Linked DNA regions of Callithrix jacchus. The protein of the gene in region 7 purifies or fractionates together with the protein of the main gene of each other region. This does not show direct contact. Links are inferred from orthologs where the notes say so. Each region holds a gene or a part of one and is shown on either strand. Other genes may lie near its edges.

Region 1 (4,249 bases), on a different chromosome or scaffold from region 7:
CAGACTTTCAAGAATATTTTGCTATCTCAAAACTTGTCAAACCCAACGCTGCATTTTCTTATTTCACCCTTGCTCTCAGAAACTTATTTTCATTGCTGATACACAAACCAAAGTGAGGCGATTCCAGAAGTTGAAACTTATTTACAAGGAAAGCAGTAAAGTGATTCAAAATTCAAAGTAATTCTACAAGTACATTAACAATCTGCACAAGAATAAATTTCACATTATACAAATCCAACACAGTAAATAAAATTTCACCTATTCATCAAAAAGAATAAAGGCTACCATTTAGGTCTCGAGTAAAAGAATGTAAAGCAAGGAAAAAAATCTAAATTAATCTTAAATTGTTGTAAAGCCTCAAGGAACAGAAAAAGGCCTTGTGGAACTAAAACATTCCAAGTATCTCTCATCACTCAAGCTATTCTGAAGCAAATTCTGCTATAATCTAATTTTTAAGCCTAAGAGTCAATGCAATTTAAAATCCTTAGTTTTAATTTGTATGTATTTGAACAAGTTGAAAATATCTGCCAAATCTCCTTCTAATACCTAAGAAAATAAAAACAATGCATCATTTTCTATAAAAATTGTACTTAAAATTTTTTCATTCCTCACTAGATGCCAACAAAAAAGGGAAAGTGAAGTTACTCTATGAGGGGAAATGATCACTTCACCTGAACTAGTTTGGCTAAGTAGTGGCTGGGATGCTTCAGACTCAGAGAAGTTGGGGGGGGGGGCGGGGCGGGGACGGGACGAGGCTTGTAAGTCAAATAACCGAAGACTATTTCAGCCCCTGGCCCCATTGAAGGCAAGAGAATTCCTTAAAAACCAGCTGATACCTCTTGATGGGGAACTTAAGCTGTAAATAAAAATTATTTAGAAATGGATTGCTGAAAATGTGTGTTCAAAAAGAAAACTCAGGTGCGTGAAAAATCCTCTTATCCCACCTTCCAAAACCCAAGATGTCTAAGGAGGACGCCAGTCATTGGCCCTGCCAAGCCGGCGGCCTAGGCCTAAGGGAGGCACAGTAGCGCCTGCAACACGGATAGACTTGGGGCACAGGGGAAATGGACTTGCGTGCCCTTGGTAAGCTCTGGCGGCACTCCCGAAGTTAAGGACACCGGCCACAATGGAATGGAGTCTATTGACATTTGCTTCTCCGTTTGAACACTAAGCATTTTCTTAGTTCGTGAAATACGAACTGACAATCACCACCCCCCGCCACCCTCAATAGGACCTCCTGCACGAACACACTCTCCAGAGTCAAAACCAGTTAGCCAGGACAACACTGATCCCTCGCCCCGTCTCTATCACAACCCCGGCTTAGGTGGGAAAAAGACACCAATAAACATTTCTGCGTTCAGAAACCACACCACGTCCCCTTCTGCAATCTCTCTCTCCTAGCATTTCCGAAATTGGGGCGGGGATTGGGAAAAGTGCGCAGGGCACCCGCTCCCTGCCACCAGCACCGCCGCCCCGGATCTCCCGGATCCAGCCTGGGTCCGGCCCTCGCCCACCACTGTTCACAGGCGCCTTCTCCACCGCAGCCTCGGAACAGCAATGCGGATCGGCCACCACCCGCGCGCCGGACAGGCCAGGCGGGGGAAGAATGGAGGCCGGGCACTCCCCACCCCTTCCCTTCCTTAGGAGGGGTAAGGCGGAACGCTGCAGGAGGCTGCACGGAGCCCCAAGATTCCACGGGAGTTCGGGAGCCCCCGCCGCAGCCTCGGAATCAAACGGGGAGGGGTGCGGGGGCCAAGGCCCACCTGTCTCCACCCAGTCTTCCGATCTTTCCCAGGACTGGGAGGGGGCGGGGAGAGGAGCCCCGATAGACCCTGATGATTCCGGAGGAGCCCAGTGCCTACCCCTTTAACGCGCACGGGGGACGCGGCCCTAACTTCTCCCCTTCTGAGATGTCCCCCACGATGGGGGAACGACATGTTCCGGAAAACGACACCAAAGCCTCCAGACCCCTCCAACGTTCACACCTAAACTGGGGGTGGGACGCTGCCCAAGCATACCCCTGCTGCGGGAGGAGGGGGCGTGCGAAAGGGGGAGCCAGGGGTGACCACAGCCGCGACCCGAGAACTCCTCCCAACACGCGTGGGGAGGGGAGGCCGCTGGCTCCCTCCATCTTGACCGCTGGGGGAGGGGGCGGGGATGCTGCGGGAGGCTGGACAGGCCTGACAATCCCAGAAGACCCCCGCGGCGCCCCCCAGCCGAGCCTCGGGACTCTGGCCCGGGCGAGTCCCCCACACGCCGCCAGCCCCCAGCCCACCTCGGGCAGCCCTGCCGGTCATGGGGCGGGGACCGCCGCGCGAGCCGCGGGGGAAGGGACACCGGGCCCAGAGCAGAGGGGGCTGGGGTGCCGACACCCACCTGCCCAGGCCGGGCCTCCCGCTGCCAGCGGTCGCCACGGCCGCCGAGGAAGAGGGAGCCGTGGCCGAGGACGAGGAGACAGAGGACGAGGACGGCGAAGGCACGACGGCGGGCGACGCGAGAAGGCCGCTGCCGCCGGGCTTGCGGACATTGGCGGCCGCAGGCGGCTGCGGCTGCTGCTGCTGCTGCTGCTGCTGCTGTTGCTGCTGCTGCTGGGGCTTCAGCGACATGGTGAGGGGCCCATACACCGGCTCGCACGCCGGGCGGGGACAGTCGGGAGCCGGGCGCGCCGAGGAGTCGCCGGAGCGCAGCGGGGACGCGAGAGTGCCGAGCGGGGAGGCGCGGGTTGGCGCGGCCGGGGGGGCGCCCGGGCTGACGAGGGGGAAAAGGAGGACGAAGAAGGGGCGGGGAGGCCCGCCGAGACCGAGGAACCGCCGGAAGCCGGACCGGGATGCGCCGCCGTTGCCGTTGCTACCAAAACAGTCTGAGGCGGAGAGAGGCGAGCGCTGCGGGGAGGGAGGGGGGCCAGGGCCGGGCGGGGGAGGGGCGGCGGAGGGATACGGGCCCGGTACCTCGCCACCGCCGCCCCGCCCGCTTCGCCGTGCCGGCCGCGGGAGCGAGCGCCCCCCGGGCCACCTAGCTGCGGCGAAACGGCGAGGCTCGGTGGCTGCCGCGGAACTCTGAGGAGGTGCGGCCGCTGAGCGCATCGGAGGCTGAGTGCGCCGAGGCGCCGGGTGGGCACGGGGATGCCGGATTGGGACTCTTTACCGGAAGTCGGAGGAGTCGGGCGGAAGCAAATCGTTAGGCGGACCCGGGACCGGGAGGGACACGTGAAGAGCGGGCGCACCGCTGGTCCGCGTTAGCGGGGGTCGGGTGAGGGCCAGGCGGCAGGCCCTTCCCAGGTCCGCCCTCTCGAGGCGGGTCTGCCCTTCGGGGAGGGCGTGTCGGTCTTAGCCTCTGGGGCCTGCCTGGTGTGGAGAACGGCAGGGAAGCATTTTTTCCCCCAGTGTATTCCTTCAACGTCCTCACACTCCTGCAGGGACCTCGTTTGCCCCCACCTGATGCAACCCAGAAAATGAACTGCGAGTTCTTTGGAGTGGAGAATTTATCTTTCTACGTGTAAAGCACCTACAACCCTGCCAGATTCAGGGGGCACACCATCCCGCCGTTTTCCTGCCGGGCACACACTAGGCTCTCCAGTGCCTCTGGGAACCTTCCAGGCAGGCCGCGCTATGCTGTCCTGCTGAGGCTGGAGTGGAGAAACCCTCCGGGGCCACCCACATCTGGGTACCTTTTCCCCACTTTTTTCATCCCAGCCTCGAAAACTCTTCTAGGTATCTGACCTTCATCTGAACTTTTTCCTCATTCACGAGATTCTGAAGGAAATATACGGGACTGAGACTGGTAGAGCTGAGAATAAGCAGACCTCACAAGAACGTGCGAACTTTAGACCTTGTACCCTTTATAAGTTTTAATTTAACTTAGCCAGCCAGCAGAGTAGACCCTTTATAAAATGTGTTGCAAGTAAACTGGAAGCAAGTAGATAACTTTTTTTATCTTGAGCAGCCAATCTAGTGTTTTTGAGTGAAATGACTTCAGGAAATTAATAGAGGAAGAAACACCAAAATTCCCCTTCAATGTCCTAGAATTGTCCAGATAAAGACCTAGAAAAACATGGAGAATGATTAAACCAGCAGTTTTCAGTAGCCCAAATGAAATTAAACTCCTAGATAGTCCAGGCAAAAATGATCATTGTATTCTACCAATGTAGGAAATCAGTTTTATTTCCCATCTAAAGAGAGACTGTCGCAAAACTCTTTAACAATTAACCTAGCCTGGCCAACATGGTGAAAACCCATCTCTATTAAAAATA
Region 2 (3,779 bases), on a different chromosome or scaffold from region 7:
TAGCTTGCTGGCCTCTGTGCCTCCCTCTCAGGAGTTCTTCTGGGGAGTCAGGAGGCTGATAAATAACATTCATTTTTTTCCCCTGAGTTAGAAGCAAATGATAGCTGTAGGAGTCAGTCAGCTAAGGATCAAAATGTCACTTGCATAACTGAAAGGGCTGTTAGAAAACTTGCTTTCAGGTCTGTTTGCCAAGGGAGTTAGACTCACCAGATAGGCAAGGCCGTGGCAGGGCTGAGCAACAGCAACATATCAGCTGCAGAAGCTGAAGATGCGGGCTCTCTGCAGGCTGGCAGATCCTGTCAGGGAGGGACCTAGAAAGGGTGGAGCCACACATCACTCTCCCTCCCAAAGAGAAGTGCATGAGGCTGCAGGAGGGGCAGGGAGTTGCTGTCACAGCACCTCCTGTGCTCCAGGGTCAGGAGGGGAAATGGGTAGGCCCCTATCAAGTAAGGGTGGCAGCTCACATAAGTTGGGAGACCTTTAAGTCAGAGTCATGGACAGCCAGGTCTGAGGAGAAGGTCAGTAGTCCTAAATGCATGTTGCCAAATACTGACAGTCAGCCTTAAAAATAAACTGTCACTCAGAGGCCAAGCTTCATATGCAGAGGGAACAGCAGTCACCACAGCAGACCATACCAGAGCTGCTCAGTGATGCCAGAGGAAGGTGCACAGAGAGTGGAACAAGAATCAGTTACACGTAGACTATTCTCGGCTAGGGAAGCTGTGCACAGGGAATGCTTAGATCACCTGCATCCACTGCTGCAAGCTGTCATGCCATGAGCTGCTCCTGACCCCACCCCTGTGTGTATTTGCTATGAGCAGGTCATCTCACCTCAGCGCATCCCTGCTACAGCAGCTCCTTCTCTGCTCATGTCCCCCATGGTGTTCACACAATCCACCTCCGTCCCACCAAAAGAAAGGGAGAGCGGCCTCTTGCCTGTGGGAGGCCAGGAGCTGCCTGCTGCCACCACCAGCCTCCTCCTGCCCATGCAGAGCCCAGAGCCCTCCGTAATCACCAGCAGCCCACTCACCAAGCTCCAGCTCCAGGAAACACTGCTGTACCTCATTCAGGTAAGCCATCACATCATCTCCCTTTGCACCTGACCACACCTGTTGGCCTCCTGGCTGTGACTTTCAGATAAAGACTTGGCCATGGCCTGCTTAGCTTCCGTGAGAATAACAGGTGTGTGTGTAACAACTCATCCTGACCCCAGTGGCTTCTGTGCTCGTTTAGCTTGGTGCTATTTAGAATACCAAGTGTGGCTTTGGATGTCTCAGCTCTTCAAGGATCTTGTCATTTGAAGGACTGTCTAAGGTCTCCAAGCTGTCACCTATCAGAAGAGAAGGAAGCATACGCTGGTGATTAAGCAGTCCCTGAGAGGACCCTGGGTGCTGCCGGGGGCCTGGAGAGAAAACTCACCATTAGGAAGTAGAGGTGGGAGCAGTCCTGGGCAAGGGGCCGTCTGCCGAGTAGGGAACAGGTCACTGAGCGAGTGGAAAACAGGGAGGGTAGCAAGTAATGGCTGTGGCTGCTGCAGGTGCGTTTTACAAGTCATTTTGAAATCTGCTCATTAGGATGGGATGGAGCGACAAGACTCCTTGTGAGCCATCGTCTCACTTGTCTATGAAATTGTGAAATAATAATGAGTACAGTAATAGCTTACACTCCATAGAGCTGGTGCCGGGCCCTGTTTTAAGTGCCACACACATATTAACTCATTCACTCCTTACACAACAACCCTGTTATTTTTCCCATTCTGCAGAAACGGAAAGTGAGGCTAAGCAACTGGTGAGGCACACAGCTTGTTCATAACACAGCGGGGATGCTCCATGCTGCCATGTGGCTCGGCTGCCCATCTATGCTGCATGTAATGAGCTCTTGCTACCATGCAGGCCCCTAGCCTGGCCCCCGGAGTGCCACTTCCCATATGCTCTCCCGTGGGCCATACTCTCCACATGAATGTTACCAGGGACCAGCCTCAGGAGAACATTCAGCACAGGGGCCCTAGCAAAGCACACCCAAAAAATAAATGGTAGGCCTTGAAAAGTGGAATATTTGTAGCCAGACAGACTTGAGACACCCCAGTTAATGTATTTAGATGTCTTTTTAGTAGATAGTCTTTAAGAAAACTTTTGTGGCACTTTGCTTAAACATCAAAGTGGCCTCTAGAGAGCAGGCTAGCCCTTCTGCGGTTGTCCTGTCCTACTCAAAAAGACAGTGGTCTCTATTAGTAAAACATTTTTTAAAAGCCTACATGTTGGCCAGGCGCAGTGGCTCCTCACACCTGTACTCCCAGCACTTTGGGAAGCCAAGGTGAGAGCATTGCTTGAGGCCAGGAATTCAAGATCAGCCCGAGCAACATAGCGAGACTACAAAGGAGACAGTTTGAGAGAGAATGAAAGGAATGGACTAGAAAACAGCAGAAGTGTAATAATCAGATACAAAGAAGGTCAGCAGCAAATAACTGAGCCTCACTAATTCATAAATAAATATCAGGATAAAAATATTTGCCACCTTTTAAAGCTATTCATGGTAAGCTCATGAGGAATTAGAAAGGACATCTATGAACTTCTTTACTTTGAGCAAATTTCTTAAGTTTGAATTTAAAAGGTTCATATGTTTTTCTGGCTCATTCCATTCAGATCACATTGTCTTGAGACTCTGATAATCCAGAGTAGTTGCTGAACACGGCTGGTTAGAAATTCCATTCCCCCTCCTTCCACTGTCGGAACGCGTTTTACTTCTTCCTGTGTACTAGACCTCATCTTCCCAGTCACTCACACAATCTGTTTTTAGTCTCTGCCTCTTGTTAGGATGCAGTCTCATGCATAGGAACTTTGTGACTACTTTGTAGGAAAAAAAGGGATAACATCACTCTCTTCATTGCATGAAAATAATGCTAACTCTGTGTGGGGTGCGAAGAGGGAATGAAGGGGGAATGTGAAGTGTGGGTGAATTACTAATGCTGTAAAGAATTCGAGTGGGAGGGAGAAGTCTCTAGAATTAAAAAATGAAGAAAACCACTGATTAGACCATGATTCCCACTCTTTGCCAGGCAAAAGAGCCCAGAGACTACCAGTCTTATTCCTGCCCACTTGCCAAGGCCAGAAACTTTCCATAACTTATGGAAAGACTTACGTGGACTTTGATGAAGTACTGATGAAGCATGTTGGAAGTAAAATGCTCAGTAATGCCCAAAACAAAGTAAAACCATTGCAGGTAACGTGGAGGGCCTTTAAACACCACAGTGGCTCATGCCTGTAATCCCAGCACTTGGGGAGGCCAGGAGTTTGAGACCACCCTGAGCAACATAGTGAGACCTTGTCTCAACAAAAAACTGACAAAGAAAAGCCAGGTACGGTGGCACACACCTTGTAGCCCTAGCTACTTGGGAGACTGAGGTGGGAGGATCACTTGACTGCAGGAGGTTGAGGCTGCAGTGAGCTATGATGGCAGTACTGCACTTCAGCTTGGGTGATGGAGTGAGACCCGGTGTCAAAAACCAAAAAAAAAAAAAAAAAAAAAAAAACAAGAAACAAAAAAACACACCACCTGGATCATGTCCTCCTAACTCCTCTGTCTGCTGGGGCCCCTTATCTTTGCAGACCCAGGCTGTTCTTGAGTAAACCTTGTTCCATGCTGCCATGTGGCTCGGCTGCCCACCTGTGCTGTATGTAATGAGCTCTTGCTACTGTGCATACTGACCGTGGAAAACCAGCAGCTCTGTCCGGCCTTGCCTCAACCCCACATAACATTCACACATGTAATTAAAAACCACC
Region 3 (3,779 bases), on a different chromosome or scaffold from region 7:
AGGAAAGTCAGAAGGGCAGAGTGGGAAAGGAATTTTCAAAAATAAAATTAACAAGGTGACTGTTCCAGAAGGGGGCTGTGAAAAGGATATGGTGGACCGAAGTCTGTTAGTCAAGTAATGATTCAACTTTTAAATTATTCTCTTGTTCTTTTTTGTTGGGTGTTTTGTTTGTTCAAGTCTAAGATTTGGAAATGCTGACCCTTTGTTAACAAGAGCCAACAGGACATATAGGATCCCTTCCCTCCCCCGGCCTGCCTCCGCTGAAGCCACCACCAGCGCCTCCTTGGCTGGATGCTGGAAGAGTCCTCCATGTGTATGGACTCAGGATGACAGGGCAGCCTCCTTCTGTGGTTGCTGGGCTTGTGAACGTTGCAGTATCTTTTGGCTTTCCACGTCTCTAAAATGTTTTTCAACCTGAAAAAGACCAAGCAACCAAGATCAGTAAAGGAGATGGGCAAGAAAGGTACAAACAAGAAAGGTCCCAAACAATCCAACCGAGGTTTCAACAGCCCTGCCCTGGCTGTCCAGCCTATGCACTAGCCAGGCACCCCTGTCCTTGCTGTCTACTGGCCTTTCCAACCACAAGGTAGGCCAGAGTCTCCTGCTTCAGCCACATTTTTTGCAGTTTCCACTAAGACTGGCTAGAAGAGGGTGATTATACAAACTAAACAATAAAATGAGAGGAGATTATCATGACCAAATTCCTCCTCTCTTCTACACAGAAGTGCAGAATGAAAAGCTGGTGGGGGAATTACAGTCTTACCACACTTCCTGCATCTACAATGTTGGTCTCTCAATGTTCCTCAGAGAAAAAAAAAGCAGGAGTGTTTTGGAAATTTGTTTTCACAAATGGTATAACTCAATCTAAAGTCCAGTGATAAATGTAGGGTCAGAGACACCAATGGCAACTGATTTATACCAACCAGATCTTTCTAGAAGGATGCCTGCAGCTAAGAAAAACCCAGTATGGGGCCAGGCACAGTGGGTCATGCCTGCAATCCCAGCACTTTGGGAGGCCAAGGTGGGCAGATCATTTCAGGACAGGAGTTTGAGACCAGCCTGGCCAATATGGTGAAACCTCATCTCTACTAAAAATACAGTAATTAGCTGGGTGTGGTGGTGCACGCCTGTAGTCCCAGGTACTCGGAAGGCTGAGGCAGGACAATCGCCTGTACCCTGGAGGCGGAGGTTGCAGTGAGCTGAGATTGCACCACTGCACTCCAGCCTGGGTAACAGAGCGACTCTGTCTCTAAAAAAGAAAAACCCAATATGGGAAAAGAGAAACTGCTCAGGCCCAATACCATGGAATGGCCTTGCTAATTCTAAAAAGCCAGCAAAGAACATTGGGTCAACCACTCACTTCATTCCACACCACCCCATGGTTCCTCTCCCACAGGAGTGTCCAAGCCACAGCTGCAGAACCCCACAGTACAGGAAAGTCAGGGAGACCACACAGGGCTGCAAGGGGAGGCAGAGACTGTAGCACAGTGTCCTGCTCTGGTGCTAAAGACTGAAGGCCGGAAGAACCATTCTCTCTCCCCTAAAGTTTCAAGGCTCCTTTACTTACTATTTTGCGTACATGGCTCAGTGCACTTCCCTCTTTGCCTTTACAGTTTTCCACTTGATATGGGGGTGTAATAACAACTTCTTCCATGACTACGATGTTTTTTTCTTGCCATTTACAGTCTTTAATGCTGGATGGAGAAGACAGCAGTCAAAATACATGTAACCTCCTTTTGGGGGCATCCCACATCTCCTGTCTGATGAATAAATAATTCCAGAAGGCTGATACCAAGTTCTCAGCTCACCATTAAGCCAACAACTAGACGCCAGCAGCCCACAGAGTAGCCAAGAAACATTCCTTGGGTGCCACTGGCTAGAAAACCAATGAAACTCAGGCACATTTATTCTTGGGAGAGCCCAGAAATTGTTACAATGAAGCATCAGAGACCTGAAAAGTCATAAAAATGTGATGGCAGCCTCAAGAAACCCAACTAAGATAGCAGCCTAGGGCAGAGGCTGGCAAACTTTTTCTCTCAAGGGTCTCTTAGCAAATATTTTAGGCTTTGCCAGCCATATCCTCTCTGTTACAACTAGCACTGAATTCTGCCATAGTTGTGCAAAAGTAGCCATGGACAATAAGTAAACAGATGAGCAGATCTGGCCTGCTGGTATAGTTTTCTAACAATTGGTCTAGGGAAAAATACCACCTTTAGAAAGAACAGGCTGGGTGTGGTGGCTCACACCTGTAATCCCAGCATTTTGGGAGGCCAAGGCAGGTAGACTGCTTGATTCCAGGAGTTTGGGACCAGTCTGGGCAGCATGTCAAAAACCCATCTCTACTAAAAATACATACAAAAAATTAGCCAGTAGCAGTGGCATGTGCCTGTACTCCCAGTTACTCCAGAGGCTGAGGTGGGAGAATCACTGGAGCCCAGGGAGATCAAGGCTATATTAAGCTAAAATTGTGCCACTGCACTCCAACCTGGGCGATTAAAATGAGACCGCGTCTCAAAAAAAAGAAGGCCAGGTGTGATGGCTCATGCCTGTAATCCCAGCACTCTGGGAGGCCAACGGAGGGCGGATCATTGGGTCAAGAGATCAAGGCAACCATCCTGGCCAAAATAGTAAAACCCCATCTCTACTAAAAATACAAAAATTAGCTGGATGTGGTGGCACATGCCTGTAGTCCTCGCTACTCGGGAGACTGAAGCAGGAAAATCGCTTGAACCCAGAAGGCAGAGGCTGCAGTGAGCCGGTATCACACCTCTGCACTCCAGCCTGGTGACAGAGCGAGACTCCATCTCAAAAATAAAAAAATAGAAAACAAACTCCCCATCTTACTATGATCTGTACTCTGACCCTTATCACCCACAATGGGAGCTGCTTCTCAGACTGGCTCCACTCAATTATCAGACAGTTGGGCACTTGCCAGACTGGGAAAACCCATTCCAGTTCACACTTGGGGAGCCCCAGGGCAGCTGATGCGACTGAGAGTTCCTTCACATACCTGTAAATGTTCAGATACTCACACCATGGCCTCAAACAGCTCTGATGCCAGCTGTCATCTGTGCACCAGACCCAGGGTGGTTAAATAGGGGAACAGAAGGCAGTGGGGGGGGATGGAGGGGGGCATCAAATGTTCCAGTTTTGCAGCAGCTAGGGAAGCTAGTGGAGAGTCAAATGACTTCTGCTGTGACAAAATGTCTTTTAAGAGGTGATAAGAAGGTGGCCTACTCTAACTCTCTGTGTTCATCCCAATCTACATTGGGAAAAGTGATATAATTTATCCTTAATAAAAACTGCATCAGCTTTTAGAGAAAGGCACAAAACAACAAAATCAAAGAGAAAGAAATTCACTAGTTCTAAATTATGGACTACTAGGTCTAAAAGGGATTCTTAGGGATGATCTAATCTAAAACTAAGTTTTACAGAAAAGAAACTGAGGACCAGAGAAGACAACTTGTCCATGATTACACTATTCTTCTGTGTGGAAAGTGGGCAACAGCACCTGTATCTCTGGATGCCAGCATATTGCCAATACCCTTCCCAGCTTCCCCAGTAGACTTTTAGGAAGACAACCACCCAAAAGCCTGCCATCAGACAGCACAATCAGGTAGCATTACCCCAGGACGAAGGACCTCCCAGTCCCCTAACTCACGTCTTGTGAATGGTCTGGAAGAGCTGCTGGCCCTCTAGAGAGACACCAGCACTGATTGCATAGGCCTGGCTCAGCTTCTCCTCCTTCTCCGTCCGTGCTTTGCTGGCAAGCTAGGGTG
Region 4 (4,560 bases), on a different chromosome or scaffold from region 7:
CACACACGGAACATCCACTCTACACTACACACACACACACAGCATCCACTCACTACACACACACATGCACACACAAAGCATCCACTCACTACATCACACACACACACAGCATCCACTCACTACACAGAGCATCCACTCACTACACACACACACACACAGAGCGCATCCACTCACTACACTACACACAGAGCATCCACTCACTACACACACGCACACACACAGCATCCACTCACTACACTACACACACACAGAGCATCCACTCACTACACCACACACACAGAGCATCCACTCACTACACTACACACACACAGCATCCACTCACTACACTACACACACACACACAGCATCCACTCACTACACTTACACACACAGCATCCACTCACTACACACACACACAGAACATCCATTCACTACACTACACTATACATACACACGGAACATCCACTCTACACACACACACACACACACACACACACACACATGCATGTGTGCACCAGGCTCCCCAGCTCTCCATCCTTAAGAGCCATGCTACACAGCACAGGCCACCTACTGTGCACTACAAGAATCACCTTCTGTCGGAACAGCAACAGCCTGGACAAAAGCTAAGCCACTTTAAATCAAAAGGTTATTCCTCCCTCACACTGAGCACCTGACCCGACATGCCACCACGCTCCATGTGGAGACCAGCATCTCTCACAGCGTGCACACTGGGGCAGTGGCACACTTACCTGAACAATGGCAGGATCCTGCGGGAGTGTGTGCTGAGCTTTCGGAGGTTCACACACAGTGATATCTTTGATGTCACTTCCCCGGAAAATGATGTACTCATAAATCTCTTCTCTGGGGGGAGCAGGCCTATCTGTGGGACGGTCTTCGGTGCCAAAGGACCTCACTTACGAGTGGAGAAAGAGAAGCGTTAAGGTGTTGTCCTCAGCCAGTTCAGTCAACCCTCACGCAACTGCTCTTAAGCCTTCCAGAAGACGGTGGCACCTGCTCAGAGCCACAACACAGCACCCCAGCTCCACATTTCAACATCTACTTAACACCCCCATTTTCAGTGTACAATGCTGATTGCGCATCAATTGGTGAAGCTCCAGACGGTTCTATATCACAAAGATGACAAGAACTATTTCGCTGTCTCCTGTGCGAACACAGAGCTCTCAGCAAAACAAGGCCTGCTTCGCAAGGCTTTCCTGTTCACTCCAGACTCTGCGAATCAAACGGCCAGCCTGCTGCTTTATGTCCGAAGCTTCACCACTAGTTGCGCCTGGAGGGCGGGGGGAGGGGATAGTTTTCGGGCAAAGGAACCTAGACGAGCGAGTGTTCCCCTTACCCTTCCATCCACAACAAGCCTTGGAACAGCTGCCACAGAAACAAGGGAGACAGAGTGCCGGGATTGCGGACCCCTGACCCCAGCTTCCGCACCTCTAAGGAATTCTGAGCCCGAGGGACTTCTTGGGGTACCAGCCCCTAAACAGCAGGCTGGCAGGAGCCCCACCGAGTCTCTTTTTAGCAGGCCTCCAGGGGCAGAGCTGGGAGGGACAGCAGCACCACTCCTGCTGAGTCCTGGGCCTACGCTGGAGCTCAGCGTCCCTCGCTGGGCTCTCCTGCAGTGAGTGCCCAGCCCTGGCACGCTCCGCGAGCTCCTGAGCCACGCAGGAGACGGGCTCCAAAAGCTGACAGTCCCAGTTTGGGATGAGTGCGTCCTGTGACCCAAGCGGCGTTTCAGACGCGTCTGACCCCTCAAGAACCCGGGGAGCCGAGCGCCAGACCCAGACACGGGACTTAGGCAGTCCCGGCTGCACTCGCACCGTTCGCTGAGAGGCAGGGAAGGGCACTCCCCATCTTCTCGGGGTATGAAGACAAAGGGACTGCACCACCCGCTGCCCCAACCTCAGCGTCTGGCCCTCCGGAGTCAGAGAAGAGCCCCTGCCTCGAAGCCTCCCAGCGCCCACAGGCGGCTGCCACCACAGGGAAAGCCACACGGTGGGCATCGGGTGCTCCTGCCCGGGCAGCACGCTGCACTAGAGCACAGGATGCGTTCGCTCAAGGCCCCAACTGTCTGATGGGTTCCAGAAAGGATCGCCGGATTCGCGCGTGGTCACGCCGCCCCCCGGCCCCGAGGCTTCCCCGCAGGGACACCCGAGGCGGGCAGGGAGCAGCCCCACTGCCGGGAGCCACCCTGGCCCTCGGGGCCCGCACCGGCAGGACCGGGCTGGGCGGCCGAGGGGGCGGCGTCGCGGGGCCCAGGCCCGTCCCTCCCCAAACGCCGCCCAGGGAGACCATTGTGCGGCCGGCCGCGCTGGGGGAGGGTGGCGCACGGGAGCGGCGCCCCGAGGAGCGGGTGAAGGCGCGGGCCGCGGGTCTCAACGCCGGGCGCGGGGACGCTCTGCGGGCGGGGTCTGGGCGCTGGGCTCTGGGTGTACGGGGGTCTCAACGCAGGGCTCTGGAGCGCCCCGGGGCTGTTGGCGGACAGGGGTCGTCGGGCGGTTGGGGCCGGCGGGCAGGCGGCGGCTGCTACCTTTGGCGAGAGCCACGGTGGAGTTGTCGGTGTCGATGGTGTAGAGGATGCCCTCGTAGCGGATCTGCGCCTTGGAGATGAGGCTGATCTTGCTGCCCAGATACGGGGTGCCTGAGGAGCCGCTCATGGCGGCGGCCGGGGCGCGTTGGGCCGCCGGGAGGGAACAAGCGCCGGGCCGCGGCCCGCTCCGCCACCGCGCGGTGGCCTGGCCGCCCGCTCCCGCGCTCCTCCGCCCTGCCGCCGCCGCCGGAGCGCCTCCTCGCCGCCGCCCGAGGGGCCTGCGCGGGCACCGAGCAGGAAGGGCTCTCGGCCGGGACTCCGAGGGGAACGCGGGGGAGGAGGGGGCCGCCGCATCCACATCCGGGGCCTCGAGCCGCTACGCCCCGCCCCCTCGCGCTCGCCGCCCATTGGCTCGCTGCGCCCGCCGTCCTTTAAATACGGCCGCGCCGCCAGCTGTGGGCGCGCCCGCGCGCCACGCCTGCGCAACAAGGCACCGCTGCTCGGAGGCGGGTCTTTTCGGCGCTCCGCCCCTTCACGTCTAGCTCCCGGCGGGCCCTGCACGGAGCTGGGCACTAGAGACTCAGCAGTCCGGGGGAGGGGTGGGAAGCGTCCTGGACGGAGCGCGCGTGCGCGTGGGTGGGCGGCCGCTGTTTGCACGCTTGGTGGGCGGGGCCTGGGAGGAGCGCCAGGCCCCGCCCTCGCGTGTGCCGGCGTGGCCCCGGAGCCTGGGCACGGCCAACTAGGGGTTTTTGCCCCCTTGGCCTCAGTTTCTCCTCCTACAGAAGTGGGGCCAAGGCGACTTCCTTATCTTGGGCCAGTTGCGCCCCTGACCCTCACCCTCGTGGGAGACCCGGGACCGGCGGAGGCCCTGGTCGCCGGGTGTTCCCGGGGAGTCCCGGGACTCCCGCCCGGGTGCCCAGGTGCCGGCGGGGGGCGGCAACTCCTGCGACGGCTACGCTTCCGGCGTGGCAGCCACTAAATATAACATGCTGAGCACACTTTCTCTTTTAATCCTGCCACTCCTCCGAAAGCCTGCCGCAGCTTTCCAGTTCCACTAAAATAAATTCTGACTGGCTACCGGGGGCCTCGGAGGCCTCCGCTCGTCCCCGGGACTATGGCTCAGAGGCCTTGCCCACCTCCCCGGCCGTGGAGGAAGCTCAGCCGCCCGCAGTCGTTTAGCCGCGGGCCCTCCGCGTGATTAGTGACAGAGGGCGTGCGGTGTGTGCTTTTTTAGTCTCCCTCTTGACCGTGAACATCTTCAGATCAGGGACCAATATTGGGTTCCGGAAAAAAAAAAAATCGTGGGTGGTAACTATAAAAACGCGATAGGCCTGGAGCCAAGGCTCACGCTGTAATTCCAGACTTTTGGGAGGCGGAGGCGGGTGGATTACTTGAGGTGAGGAGTTCAAGACCAGCCTGGGCAACATGGTAAAACCCCGTTTCTACTAAAAATACAAAAATAATTAGCTGGACATGGTGGTGGGCACCTGTAATCCCAGCTACTGGGGAGGCTGAGGCAGGAGAATCGCTTGAGCCTGAGAGGTGGAGGTGGCAGTAAGCAGAGATGGCACCACTGCACTCCAGACCCCGTCTCAAAAATAAATTTAAAAAATGAAATAGAGTAAGATAAAAAATATCAGAAGGTGTGGCGTGGTGGTTCATGCCTGTAATCCCAGCTCTTTGGGAGGCCAAGGAGGGAGGATGACTGCAGGCCAGGAGTTTGAGATCAGCCTGGGCAACATATGGAGACCCCATCGCTACAAAAAACTTAAAAAAAAAATTAGCCGAGTGTGGGGGCACATACTTGTAGTTCCAGCTGCTTGGGAGGCGGAGGCAGAGACAGGAGGATCACTTGAGCTCAGGAGTTGGAGGCTACAGTGAGCTGTGATCAGACTACTGCACTCAGGGGTGGCAGCAAAACCCATTTCTAAAGGGGGAAAAAAAAGAAAAGAAAATAACAGGCCGGGCATGGTGCCTCACACCTGTAATCCCAGCACTTTGGGAGGCAGAGGTGGGTGCATCACAAGGTCAGAAGTTCA
Region 5 (4,545 bases), on a different chromosome or scaffold from region 7:
TTTATCAAGTCATGACACAAAAAACAAATTTATATTTTATGTCGAATGAATTTAACTATTACAGACTAATGAAATATTTATCGACTCAAAGCTGCTTAAAAGTTTTTAAAATGTGGGTTAAAGTGTAGACTTTTGGGGTTCCTGCATAAAAGGATATGTTCATAGTTTTTAAAAAAGAACGAAAATACTTCAGAAATTTTCAAATGTATGTTTTTTTTCCTTGTGAGGCGTGAAGATAGCACAGCCAATTTATTGAGTCACTAAACTGGCAAGACACTTTAAATTCAGATTAGGCAAAGCAACACTTAAAAAAAATTTATTAAACAACTTTAATGAGAAATTATTTTCAACCCATATCTGGCTCTGATCCAGCACTTTTCATAACTTCATAGAGGCTTTTTCATAATTTCATAAAGCCAGAAAAATACTACACAGCTAAATATCTACTATTAAAAAATAAAAAATAAGGCCAATCAAAAACTAAGTTACTTAAGAAGTATCACTGGGAAAGTCTTTAATAACCACTAAACACCATCATACATCCTCAAGTATAGTGGATGTCTAAAAAGATGACAAAGCCCTAAGCCTACAGTTGTTTTATTTTTTTTTTTTTTAGTTATTTTTATTATTTTTTTGAGACGGAGTTTCGCTCTTGTTACCCAGGCTGGGGTGCAATGGTGCGATCTTGGCTCACCGCAACCTCCGCCTCCTGGGTTCAGGCAATTCTCCTGCCTCAGCCTTCTGAGTAGCTGGGATTAGCAGGCACGCGCCACCGTGCCCAGCTAATTTTTTGTATTTTTAGTAGAGATGGGGTTTCACCATGTCGACCAGGATGGTCTCAATCTCTTGACCTCGTGATTCACCCGCCTCGGCCTCCCAAAGTGCTGGGATTACAGGCTTGAGCCACCGCGCCCGGCCTCCTACAGTTGTTTTAATGAGGTAATGTGTCACAACACAATGTTTCACAAGGTGAACAGGGAAATTTAGGGGTACTCCCTGGTTTTTCACACTTTTAAAATTAGACTTGGTGATTTCAAAGTGTATAATTCAATGATTTTCAGCAAATCTGCAGAGTTGTGCAACTGTAGCCATCTCGTACTACTCCCTTACTGTGTACAGTTCTATAACATCAAGGTTCCCTACCCAGGTGTAAAATTTGTTCCAGTACTAGGGCTGTTAAAAAGATTTACCAGAGGCCAGGCGTGGTAGCTCTCGCCTATAATCCCAGCAATTTGGGAGGCTCAGGAGGGTTGATCAACTGAGGTCGGGAGTTAAGACCAGACTGGCCAACCTGGTGAAACCCCGTCTCTACTCAAAACACAAAATTAGCAGGGCGCTGTGGCGGATGCCAGTGATCCCAGCTACTTTGGGAGGCTGAGGCAGGAGAATCGCTTGAACCCGGGAGGCAGAGATTGCAGTAAGCCGGGATCATGCCATTGCAGCACTCCAGCCTGGGCAAAGAGAGCGAAACTCCATCTCAGGGGAAGGAGAGAGAGGAAAAAAAAAAAGGGATTTACCAAAGCATCCAAAGAAATGTCCTGAAATACTTGATTCCGTGAAACCACTCCCCTATCAGTTAAAGATTTAAAAAATTTTACAGATTATGAAAATCTTCCTTATCCTTGTACCTATGACCTATCTAGAGGATCCCTAAGCATGCTTATGCAGTTCCCACCTCTACCAGAAGCGCTGGGAAAATCACCTAGGTTATCTAGCTTCCCCCAAAATATTTTACACTATTGTGAGATTTCCTTAAGATTCAGGAGCTAACGTTTATTTTCTTTCTGCTTTCCTGGAGGAGCAAAGGCCCTGCACGTGTGAACGGAAACAAAACCCACACAGACTCTAGGGATGCCAAATATTAATACTATGGGTAGGGGCACCTTCCTTCTCGACAGAATTCCCTTTCCCAACGAGCCTTCAGTCAATGCCCACTGAGCCTGGATCAAAGGTCAAGATCGCCTGGATCAAGAAGGGTCCCGGACAAGCTTGAACTCGTTTCCAGAAGCAGGGGCGTCCGGGAAGCAGCAAACATTTTTACCGCACGCTCTAATGAAGATGGTTGCACAACAGGCTTTGAGAATTCCGGTTTAACAGGTAAATACCAACAGAGGATGAGCCGAGGGAGATGGGATCTGCTCCACTGCACCGATGGCATTTCGAAAATGTCTGCGTCGCAGAGCAAACCCAAAGTTTTAGCACATTACTCAGAGTTCTCCTGAGGAAGATCGCCACGAACAGAAATGAATAAAGTGAGAAAATGGGTGCTGTGGAGTCAACGCATCCACGATGAACTCAAGCTGGGCGAAAAAATTCTTTGAATACTCGGGCTTTGTTTTGTGCTAAGACAACAGAACTCCCGAATCTCGGAGTTGGAAGACCCGTTTCTCCGTGTTCTCCCGCCCGTTGTCGGACTTCAGGGCCGCCCGCACGCCCGCCCGCCGCGTACTCAGTCCCGTAGTTCCCCGTGCTTCAGGCGCGGACCTTCCTGGGGGGCGGAAGCCAGGGAGACGCGGGGAGGCCGCGGTCCGGCCCGCGACGCCAGGGCCCGGAGAATGGAGGGGAGCGGCCTCCCGGAGCTCCACGGAGGGAGGGGAAGGAGCGAGCCAGGAGGCTGAGGGCCGGAGCGGGGAGCAGCCTTGAGTGGCGCCCGGTCCGACCCCCACCCCGAGGCCCGGTCCCACGTACCTTTGGCGAGGGCTACGGTGGAGTTTTCGGTGTCGATGGTGTAGAGGATGCCCTCGTAGCGGATCTCTGCCTTGGAGATGAGGCTTATCTTGCTGCCGATGTAAGGGGTGCCCCCGCTCATGGCGCCGCCGCCGCCGCCGCCCCGGGCCGCTCGCAGAGAGGCAGATCCCACGCCGCTGTCGCCCGCTCCGCACGCCCGCTCGCTAGGTCGGCGCCTACAGCAGCCGCTTCAGACCCAACATGGCGACGGTGCCGGCTCCGCTACCCTCCCCCAGCCTCCCGCCCTCAAGTCGCGGCGCGGCGGCGGCCGCGGCGGCAGCGGCGGCGGCGCGGAGCATGCTGGGAGGGCGAGGCCGCGCCCTCGCGAGACTTGGCAGGTGGCGGGTGGTTCCCGACTGCTTGGCGGCTTCGGGAGTCCTGTCAGCGCCTATTTACCTGGGCTACGACGGCAGTCCTGGGGCAGCGTGAGAGGAATTTCGGGGACTTGCTGAGTGCCTCGTGGCACCCGCTCGCTGAGGGCTGGAGAGGAGGCGCGCGGCCCTCCTGACCCAGGCCGCGGCCTCTTTGTCGTGGGTCCCGTGTCTTTGCCGACGCGAGGCCCCCCGTCTGGAGCGCTGCCCACCCACCTGCCTCCGAGCTTTGGCGAGTCGCTGCTCATCCTTTTAAGACGCTGAACCTGTACCTCGTGGAGCTTCCACGGCTCCATTACCGCAGCCATCGCCCAGGAAGTTTCCCCTGAGGTTGCTCCTGGAGCTGGGGCTCTCAAAAGGACCCAGTTTTTCAGCTCGCCCTGTCCCGCTCGTTCATCTGGTCTGAACCAGCCTAATGGCTTGCATCGCCATTGCAACTCACCAATCCCAAGTATCAGTCTGTAACTTGGATCAATTCCGTGAACTCCGATTTCTGTGGAATTGGTATCTCAAACGTTAAGGGTCCAAAGCCATGCTCCCTGTTTCTCCTCTAACCTGCTCCTTCACCACCGTTCCCCATTGATGTAACAGGTACCATTTTTACTCAGCTGCTCAGACTAAAAGCCTTGAGTCAGCCTTGACCTCTGTCTTGCCTCCACATCTGTTCTGAGTACACCTCTGTTATGTCTACAGAATATTTCCTAAATCTGACCCCTTCTCCTCATCTCCATCCCTACAGCTGCACGACAAGCCGCGATTACTCTGGCTAAGTTATTGCAGCAGCCTTCTAAAAGTTGCTTTTGTGTCAACCCTTGCCCTCTAGTTTATTCTCAACACAGCAGCCAGAGAGAACTTGTTAAAATCGAACTCAGATCATGTCCTTTCTCTACTCACTCTACTGATCCCATGTTACACAGAGAGGAAACCAGACTGCTTCAAAGGACATGCATGATTTTGCTTCTCGTTCTGTTCCAGTCACGTCTAATTCAACTAGTATTTGAACACTTTATTCCAATCTCTGCTCAAATATCACCTCCAGAGATGACGTCCCTGACAACCTTGTTTAAAATAATACCACCCACATCACTCTACATCCCCTTAACTCAGTTTGCATTTTCTTCATAGCATGTATCTCTCTCAAGTATGTTTACTTATTTGTATGTGTCTGTCTCTTTCATTAGAACATAAACATTTTGAGATAGGGATGTTGTTTTGGTCACTGCTGTATCATCAGGGCCTGGTACAGCACCTGGCTCAGGGCAGCTGCTCAGTTAATATTTGCTGAACAAATAAACAGCAGGATGAAGGCAGAGCACAGGCAGAATGGTGGTGAGCTAAGAGAGCAAATGGCAAGAAGCCTGGCATCTTAAGAGAGGGATGCGGCCGGGCGCGGTGGCTCACGCCTGTAATCCCAGCACTTTGGGAGGCCGAGGCAGGTGAATCACGA
Region 6 (3,779 bases), on a different chromosome or scaffold from region 7:
AGGGCACTACAAGATGTGCAGATTCGCTTCCAGCCACAGCTGAACCCTGATGTAGTGGCCCCGCTTCCCACACACACTGCCCACGAGGACTTTAGTGAGTAGGGCGTGAGAGGGAGGTAGGGTAAGTTGGACTGACCAGGGTCTGAGATCTGACTCAAGTGGCAACTTGTCCTACAGCATTTGGAGAGTCTCGGCCTGAACTGGGCTCTGAGGGCCTGGGGTCAGCTGCTCACGGCTCCCAGCCTGACCTCCGACGAATTGTGGAGCTGCCTGCACCCGCCGACTTCCTCAGTCTGAGTAGTGAGACCAAGCCCAAGTTGATGACACCTGATGCCTTCATGACACCTAGCGCCTCTCTGCAGCAGGTACTCTCCCAAGGTAGGGGGACCTGGGAATGCCCCAGCCACAGCTCTCATTCCCTGCATCTCCCCAGATCACTGCCTGTCCCAGCAGCAGCAGCAGTGGTAGCAGCAGCAGCAGCAGCAGCAGCAGTAGCAGCAGCTCCCTTACAGCTGTGTCTGCCATGAGCAGCACCTCAGCTGTGGACCCCTCCTTGGTCAGGTGAGGCAAGGGTCAGAGATGGAGGATGGCAGGGACTTGTGCCAGGTGACACCAAGCTCTGGCTGCTGACACCTCAGTCTTCCCCCACCAGGCCACCTGAGGAGCTGACCTTGAGCCCCAAACTACAGCTGGATGGCAGCCTGGCAATGAGCAACAGTGGCAGCCTGCAGGCAAGCCCTCGTGGCCTCCTGCCCAGCCTACTCCCAGCCCCAGCTGACAAACTGACTCCCAAGGGGCCAGGCCAGGTATGTGAATGGGTGTGTGTAAAGTGTGGGGAGTAGGTGGGTGGCAGCAGGAAAGGTGGGTGGTGGGCTTCTCCCAGCCCCCTGCTGCTGGTCCTGCTCTTCCCTACGTAGTCCATGTTTTCCTGAGGTCATCTCACCCTCCTATGTTTCCTGGAAGGTTTCTCCTCAGCCTCCCTGTCCCCACTTTCTCTTCTGGGCTATGGCCCCGTTTTTGACTGTCCCCACTTCCCTGCTGCCCTGTCTCTCATTACTAATACTAGTGCCTCGTCTCTGTGTCCCCCATCCCTGCCTCACCTGTCACTTAAGCCCCCATCTTTGGCCCGCCTTAGGTGCCTACTGCTGCCTCTGCACTGTCCTTGGAGCTGCAGGAAGTCGAGCCCCTGGGGCTACCCCAAGCCTCCCCCAGCCGTACCCGCTCTCCTGATGTCATCTCTTCAGCTTCCACTGCCCTGTCCCAGGACATCCCTGAGATTGCGTCTGAGGCCCTGTCCCGTGGCTTTGGCTCCTCTGCACCAGAGGGCCTTGAGCCAGACAGTATGGCTTCAGCCGCCTCAGCATTGCACCTACTGTCCCCACGGCCCCGGCCAGGGCCTGAGCTCGGCCCCCAGCTTGGCCTTGATGGAGGCCCTGGGGATGGAGATCGGCATAATACCCCCTCCCTCCTGGAGGCAGCCTTGACCCAGGAAACCTCGACCCCTGATGGTCAGGTTTGGCCCACGGCACCTGACATTACTCGTGAGACCTGTAGCACTCTTGCAGAAAGGTGAGGAGCTTGGGAGGAGAAAAGTGTGCTAGCTAGGAGGAGGCTTTAGGAGGGGCTTCAGATAGAATCATCCACTGCTGAGTCAGCCTGTCCCCCAGCCCCAGGAATGGCCTTCAGGAAAAGCACAAGAGCCTGTCCTTCCACCGACCACCGTATCACCTGCTGCAGCAACGTGACAGCCAGGATGCCAGTGCTGAGCAAAGGTGGATGCCACCCTATGCCATTGCCCTCATGGAGGGGTGGGCAGCAAGTGGGCAAGGGCTTACCCCTCCTTCCCCTTCCCATAGTGATCACGACGATGAGGTGGCCAGCCTTGCCTCTGCTTCAGGAGGCTTTGGCACCAAAGTTCCTGCTCCACGGCTGCCTGCCAAGGACTGGAAGACCAAGGGATCCCCTCGAGCCTCACCCAAGCTCAAGAGGAAAAGCAAGAAGGATGATGGGTAGGGAGGAGTCCTAGGGAGGGGGGAGGATGGTCTCCAGGCTGCCTGACCTAGCCTGAGGTGCTTCTCGCCTATGGCAGGGATGCGGCCATGGGATCCCGGCTCACAGAGCACCAGGTAAGTAAATGAGTGCTCTTTGTACTCATGGGAATTTCACCCTGTGAGGATGGGGAAGGGCTCTGGGCCATTCCCTGGTCTGGTTTGTGGGGATGGGTGGGGCAGGCATCATGTGACTCTCAGTGATACTGGCAGGTGGCAGAGCCCCCTGAGGACTGGCCAACGCTAATTTGGCAACAGCAGAGAGAGCTGGCAGAGCTGCAGCACAGCCAAGAAGAGCTGCTGCAGCGTCTGTGTACCCAGCTCGAAGGTCTGCAGAACACTGTCACAGGCCACGTAGAACGAGCCCTTGAGACTCGGCATGAGCAGGAGCGTATCCTTGAGGCTGATAGCACAACATGGCATAGGGATGGGGGCAACATTCTTGGCCTGGGAAGGAGTACACAACCTGCTCCAGGCCTGTTCCTTAGCTATGGTGCAGAGCGGCGGCTGGAGCGAGCACTGGCTGAGGGGCAGCAGCGGGGAGGGCAGCTGCAGGAGCAGCTGACACAACAGTTGTCCCAGGCACTGTCTTCAGCTGTAGCTGGGCGGCTGGAGCGCAGCTTACGGGATGAGATCAAGAAGACAGTCCCTCCATGTGAGTTTTGCATACAGACTCCCTTTGGGTGGTTCAGGTGGGAATAGGGGTACCTGTCAAGTTTCTCCTAGCTCCACCTTCTCCTATTCCCCTCTCCCAGGTGTCTCAAGGAGTCTGGAGCCTGTGGCAGGCCAACTGAGCAACTCAGTAGCCACCAAGCTCACAGCTGTGGAGGGCAGCATGAAAGAGAACATCTCTAAGCTGCTCAAGTCCAAGGTGCTATAGGGCCCAAGATGTGGGTGGTGGTGGTGGTTCTGGCCTAGTCAGGCCAGGCTGCGCTCAGGCTTTCAACTTGGCCCCTCCCTCTAATTCCAGAACTTGACTGATGCTATTGCCCGAGCAGCTGCAGACACATTACAGGGGCCAATGCAGGCTGCCTACCGAGAAGCCTTCCAGAGTGTGGTGCTGCCAGCCTTTGAGAAGAGCTGCCAGGCCATGTTCCAGCAAATCAATGATAGCTTCCGGGTGGGGACACAGGAATGTGAGTGGGGTCGTATGACCCAAGGTGGGAACGACTATCCTCCACTTTCCTACTGTTCCTCTTACACTCCCTGTGGTCACTCCTCAGACTTGCAGCAGCTAGAAAGCCACATGAAGAGCCGGAAGGCACGAGAACAGGAGGCCAGGGAGCCTGTGCTGGCCCAGCTGCGGGGCCTGGTCAGCACATTGCAGAGTGCCACCGAGCAGATGGCAGCCACTGTGGCCAGCAGTGTTCGGGCTGAGGTGCAGCACCAGCTGCACGTGGCTGTGGGCAGGTGTGTGGGCAGGGTGGTGGGTTTGAGGAAGGCCAGATTGGGCTCCCTGTCCACTTCACCTCACTCACTTACCTTTGCAGCTTGCAGGAATCCATTTTAGCACAGGTACAACGCATTGTTAAGGGTGAGGTGAGTGTGGCGCTCAAGGAGCAGCAGGCTGCTGTCACCTCCAGCATCATGCAGGCCATGCGTTCAGCTGCTGGCACACCTGTCCCCTCTGCCCACCTTGACTGCCAGGCCCAGCAAGCCCATATCCTCCAGCTGCTGCAGCAGGGCCACCTCAATCAGGCCTTCCAGCAGGTACGATAGGTGTTAGGCCCT
Region 7 (3,779 bases):
TTACCATTCAAATACTGTAATTTAAAGCATGCACTTAAAAGTGACAAATAGCCTACATAATTTCAGCTTAATTTAAAAGGAAAAATGCCCTCTAGTAAGGAGGTGCTTCAATTTTAAAGTTAACAAAAAGTTTTTGAGACTGTTCACAATTGTGTTCTGTGAGTTCAATTCTTAGTTCCCTTTTTGTCTCTGAGTAAAAGAAAAAAAATTATTTAGTTATTTATTTTTGGTAGGCACAGAGTCTTGCTATGTTGGCTAGGCTTGTCTCTTAACTTCTGGATTCAAGTGATCCACTTGAGGGAGGCCTCTCCAAAGTACAGGGATTACAGGCATGAGTCACCTCAACCGGCCAGCTTTTTTTTAAGTGAAAATCCTAAATTCCATAAGCTAAAAAAAATTATGAGTGAATTTTCTATGAGTAAATAATGCTTGGAGTTCGGAAGGTTGGGCAAGTCTTTAAAGCCGCTAAAGACTCAGATTGAGCCTTTAAATTTAATTGAGCCTTTAAATTTAAAACTTAAATTTGGCTTTATCTGCTATTTAACTAGGGTAAGGTGCAGTCATTAAGGACACTAAAAAAAAAAAAAAAACTATACTGACAAAAACAAGATGACTCTAATAATTTTATTCATTTATAACAAACTCAGCTAATAACTTTTTTTGAGATGGTGTTTCGCTCTTGTTGCCCAGGCTGGAGTGCAATAGCTCGATCTTGGCTCACTGCAACCTCTGAATCCTGGGTTCAAGGGATTCTCCTGCCTCAGCCTCCTGAGTAGCTGGGATTACAGGCATGCACCACCACACCCAGCTAATTTTGAATTTTTAGTAGAGATGAGGTTTCTCCGCATTGGTCAGGTTGGTCTCAAACTCCCAACCTCAGGTGACCCACCTTGGACCCCGCAAAGTGCTGGGTTTACAGGCATGAGCCACTGTGCCTGGCCATAACTTCTTCACTAATTATGAAAGCCAGAAATGTCTCAAAAAATAATTTATACAAAATTTGTGTATGTCATCTGTCCTTAGAATCATTACTTGCTAGAAAAATTATGGCAGAAACACACTATTCTATTGCAAATACCTACTGGCCATAAAACAAAGTAATCTATCCTCTATTTGTAATCAAAACTGTTAAATTCAGGTATAAGTATTAATAGTCAACACCAAAGAAACAAAAATCTTGGTTCCCCAAGAGTGTTTATGATTTATTCTAACACTTACTTAATAGTGGTGGTCATACTCTGTGCTTGCTGCTGAGTGCCATTATTGATTGTGTTGGTGTTTTTCAGCTGGTTCATCTGTTGCTGTGTCTGTGTGCCCCCTCCTCCAGGGCCACCACTGGGTTTCACAGGGCCCCTCAGCTGACCATTTTGACTGGACAGACCCATTATAACAGGGTTCTCTGTTCTGGCCGTGCTCATGCTGTTTTAGTTGCAAAGATGTCTTTCAAACTTCAAAACTTTTGAAAGTCAGTAGAGAAACTGTAATAACAGTTTATTAGGCTCTCCAAAATGAAGAGATAAATATGTCTTGCTCAATAAATGAGTCCTTTATTGCAATGCAGGCAAGCACCTGTTAAGTCTCTGAACGGTAAGCAGCAGTAACTTGCTCTCTTGCACGGAATCAACTTTTTATTTTGAAAAAGCCTTCTAACAAGCTTGAGTTATATTTGAATTCACTCACGTCAATCTGAAACAAACAAACAAAATTAAATCAGTAAACTCAACAGAAAAACTGTTTTCTTTTCAAAAGAATCCCTTTAGAAGAACTCTCATCTTTTACATTAAAGATTTAATACTATAGCTACTTAGACCAAATCACTAGCCAAGCTTGGAAAGACACAACTTTGAACTATTTCAAAAACACAATGAAGCCAATCTAAAACATTTAAAATTGTTAATTCAAAGCAACCTAGAGAAGATTAGGTAGAAAGACACGAGTAAATTAGTACTACTTGTCAAATGACAATCTCTTCTCTTCAGTTTCCTCCCCAGTGAATTCGCTGAATCTTTGACATCTCTGAAAGTCAGTGATTCATTATACTTAATTGCATTACAACTCACTGAAGTATCACACAATTTACTTAGTGTAAACCTGTATTTGACAAGACAATTCATTAATTTTCTTCTACTTCTAATATCAACTGAGAGTCCCTATAGATTTAAGTGAGCTTTGACTTGAACTTTACACTTCTCAGAAAAAAAAAAAAAATAGACCGTTGTGCCCTTATGAATTTCAACTATTAAACTTTATAGGTTGGGCATGGTGGCTCATGCCTGTAATCCCAGCACTTTGGGAGGCCAATGTGGGAGATAACTTGAGGTCAGGAGTTTGAGACCAGCCTGGACAATATGGTGAAACCCCATCTCTACTAAAAATACAGAACGTAGCCTGGCGTGGTGGCGCACACCTGTAACGTAGTCCCAGCTACTCTGGAGGCTTGATCCCAGGAGGTGGAGGCTGCAGTGAGCCGAGATCATGCCACTGCACTCCAGCCTGGGTGACAGAGCAAGACCCTGTCTCAAACAAAACAAACTTGAAGAAAAATGTATTTTCTTTTCTCTTTTGTTTTTGTCCTTTAAAACAATAAAGGAAACAGTCAAGAGAATAGTGTATTTCTGCCATAATGTATTCGGCAAGTAATGATCCTAAGGACACATGATACACACAAATTTTGTATAAATTATTATTTTTTTTTTGAAACTGACAAAAACAAGATGACTCTAATAATTTTATTCATTTATAACAAACTCAGCTAATAACTAATCTGATTTTACATAGTATTAATTAAACAGGAAAATTCCTGTGCTAAAAAAAAAAAAAATCCATGAAAGACTAAACGCATTAGTAATTTAAAGAAAACTTTCCATCTGGGTGCGGTGGCTCATGCCTGTAATCCCAACACTTTGGGAGGCCAAGGCGGGTGGATCATGAGGTCAGGAGTTTGAGACCAGTCTGGCTAATACGATGAAACTCCGTCTCTACTAAAATACAAAAATTAGCTGGGCATGGTGGCATGTGCCTGTAGTCCCAGCTGCTCAGAGGTCTGAGGCAGGAGAATTGCTTGAACTTGGGAGGCAGAGGTTGCAGTGAGGAGAGATGGCAAAACTGCACTCCAGCCTAGGTGACAGAGCAAGACTCCATCTGGAAAAAAAAAAAAAAAAACTTTCCAAGAAACCCAGAGTAGTAAATCTAATTAATACTTAAAACAAAACAAAACAAAACAAAAAAAACTGGCAGATGGGCACAGTGGCCCAGGCCTGTAATCCCAACACTTTGGGAGGCACAGACTGGTGGATCACCTGAGGTCAGGAGTTCGAGACCAGCCTGACCAACATGGTGAAACCCTGTCTCTACTAAAATACAAAAATTAGCTGGGCTTGGTGGCAGGCACCTGTAATCTCAGCTACTTGGGAGGCTGAGGCAGGACAATCGCTAAAACCCAGGAAGCAGAAGCTGCAATGAGTCAAGATGGCGCCCTGCACTTTAGCCTGGGCAAAAAAGCAAAACTCTGCCTCAAAAACAAAAACAAAACAAAAATGGCCAACCTCATTTTAAAATTATCCTGTAAATGGAAATCTCACATTTATTTATTTATTTATTTATTTTGGAGACAGGATCTCACTCTGTTGCCCAGGCTGGAGTGCAGTGGCCCGATCTCAGCTGATTGCAACCTCCGCCTCCTGGGTTCAAGTGATCCTCCTACCTCAGCCTCCCGAGTAGCCGAGATAACAGATCCGGCTCATTTTTGTATTTTTCGGTAGAGACGGGGTGTCATCAAG

The links.
Region 1: the proteins of DDX6 (region 7) and ATXN2 purify together in Homo sapiens (affinity purification with mass spectrometry; 6 studies listed by BioGRID and IntAct, counting the BioPlex papers as one, with this or other methods). This does not show direct contact. The link is inferred for Callithrix jacchus from reciprocal best matches to the Homo sapiens genes DDX6 and ATXN2.
Region 2: the proteins of DDX6 (region 7) and DCP1B purify together in Homo sapiens (affinity purification with mass spectrometry; 6 studies listed by BioGRID and IntAct, counting the BioPlex papers as one, with this or other methods). This does not show direct contact. The link is inferred for Callithrix jacchus from reciprocal best matches to the Homo sapiens genes DDX6 and DCP1B.
Region 3: the proteins of DDX6 (region 7) and LSM12 purify together in Homo sapiens (affinity purification with mass spectrometry; 5 studies listed by BioGRID and IntAct, with this or other methods). This does not show direct contact. The link is inferred for Callithrix jacchus from reciprocal best matches to the Homo sapiens genes DDX6 and LSM12.
Region 4: the proteins of DDX6 (region 7) and LSM14B purify together in Homo sapiens (affinity purification with mass spectrometry; 4 studies listed by BioGRID and IntAct, counting the BioPlex papers as one, with this or other methods). This does not show direct contact. The link is inferred for Callithrix jacchus from reciprocal best matches to the Homo sapiens genes DDX6 and LSM14B.
Region 5: the proteins of DDX6 (region 7) and LSM14A purify together in Homo sapiens (affinity purification with mass spectrometry; 4 studies listed by BioGRID and IntAct, with this or other methods). This does not show direct contact. The link is inferred for Callithrix jacchus from reciprocal best matches to the Homo sapiens genes DDX6 and LSM14A.
Region 6: the proteins of DDX6 (region 7) and EDC4 purify together in Homo sapiens (affinity purification with mass spectrometry; 4 studies listed by BioGRID and IntAct, counting the BioPlex papers as one, with this or other methods). This does not show direct contact. The link is inferred for Callithrix jacchus from reciprocal best matches to the Homo sapiens genes DDX6 and EDC4.

Annotation. Positions count from the first base shown.
Region 1 is NC_133510.1:114,460,471-114,464,719, forward strand, and holds the start of ATXN2 (ataxin-2), read right to left. Parts: upstream 2,863-4,249; 5' UTR 2,607-2,862; coding exon 2,377-2,606; intron 1-2,376. UniProt on the Homo sapiens protein: Involved in EGFR trafficking, acting as negative regulator of endocytic EGFR internalization at the plasma membrane.
Region 2 is NC_133510.1:15,181,066-15,184,844, reverse strand, and holds part of DCP1B (mRNA-decapping enzyme 1B), read left to right. Parts: intron 1-821; coding exon 822-1,070; intron 1,071-3,055; coding exon of another isoform or gene 3,056-3,121; exon of another isoform or gene 3,122-3,350; intron 3,351-3,779. UniProt on the Homo sapiens protein: May play a role in the degradation of mRNAs, both in normal mRNA turnover and in nonsense-mediated mRNA decay. May remove the 7-methyl guanine cap structure from mRNA molecules, yielding a 5'-phosphorylated mRNA fragment and 7m-GDP.
Region 3 is NC_133506.1:70,883,406-70,887,184, forward strand, and holds part of LSM12 (protein LSM12), read right to left. Parts: intron 3,772-3,779; coding exon 3,662-3,771; intron 2,343-3,661; coding exon 2,247-2,342; intron 1,695-2,246; coding exon 1,568-1,694; intron 415-1,567; coding exon 322-414; 3' UTR 1-321. UniProt on the Homo sapiens protein: Nicotinic acid adenine dinucleotide phosphate (NAADP) binding protein. Confers NAADP sensitivity to the two pore channel complex (TPCs) by acting as TPC accessory protein necessary for NAADP-evoked Ca(2+) release.
Region 4 is NC_133506.1:57,684,536-57,689,095, reverse strand, and holds the start of LSM14B (protein LSM14 homolog B), read right to left. Parts: upstream 2,880-4,560; 5' UTR 2,649-2,879; coding exon 2,522-2,648; intron 893-2,521; coding exon 729-892; intron 1-728. UniProt on the Homo sapiens protein: mRNA-binding protein essential for female fertility, oocyte meiotic maturation and the assembly of MARDO (mitochondria-associated ribonucleoprotein domain), a membraneless compartment that stores maternal mRNAs in oocytes.
Region 5 is NC_133523.1:30,894,694-30,899,238, reverse strand, and holds the start of LSM14A (protein LSM14 homolog A), read right to left. Parts: upstream 2,810-4,545; coding exon 2,689-2,809; exon of another isoform or gene 2,406-2,688; intron 1-2,405. Other genes in the region: uncharacterized protein LOC144580722, read left to right, coding at 2,808-3,179. UniProt on the Homo sapiens protein: Essential for formation of P-bodies, cytoplasmic structures that provide storage sites for translationally inactive mRNAs and protect them from degradation. Acts as a repressor of mRNA translation. May play a role in mitotic spindle assembly.
Region 6 is NC_133521.1:25,412,232-25,416,010, forward strand, and holds part of EDC4 (enhancer of mRNA-decapping protein 4), read left to right. Parts: intron 1-2; coding exon 3-94; intron 95-177; coding exon 178-365; intron 366-433; coding exon 434-561; intron 562-652; coding exon 653-806; intron 807-1,135; coding exon 1,136-1,569; intron 1,570-1,655; coding exon of another isoform or gene 1,656-1,667; coding exon 1,668-1,772; intron 1,773-1,856; coding exon 1,857-2,009; intron 2,010-2,089; coding exon 2,090-2,126; intron 2,127-2,261; coding exon 2,262-2,703; intron 2,704-2,803; coding exon 2,804-2,919; intron 2,920-3,018; coding exon 3,019-3,184; intron 3,185-3,271; coding exon 3,272-3,458; intron 3,459-3,538; coding exon 3,539-3,758; intron 3,759-3,779. UniProt on the Homo sapiens protein: In the process of mRNA degradation, seems to play a role in mRNA decapping. Component of a complex containing DCP2 and DCP1A which functions in decapping of ARE-containing mRNAs. Promotes complex formation between DCP1A and DCP2.
Region 7 is NC_133511.1:18,428,909-18,432,687, forward strand, and holds part of DDX6 (putative ATP-dependent RNA helicase DDX6), read right to left. Parts: intron 1,687-3,779; 5' UTR 1,419-1,686; coding exon 1,219-1,418; intron 1-1,218.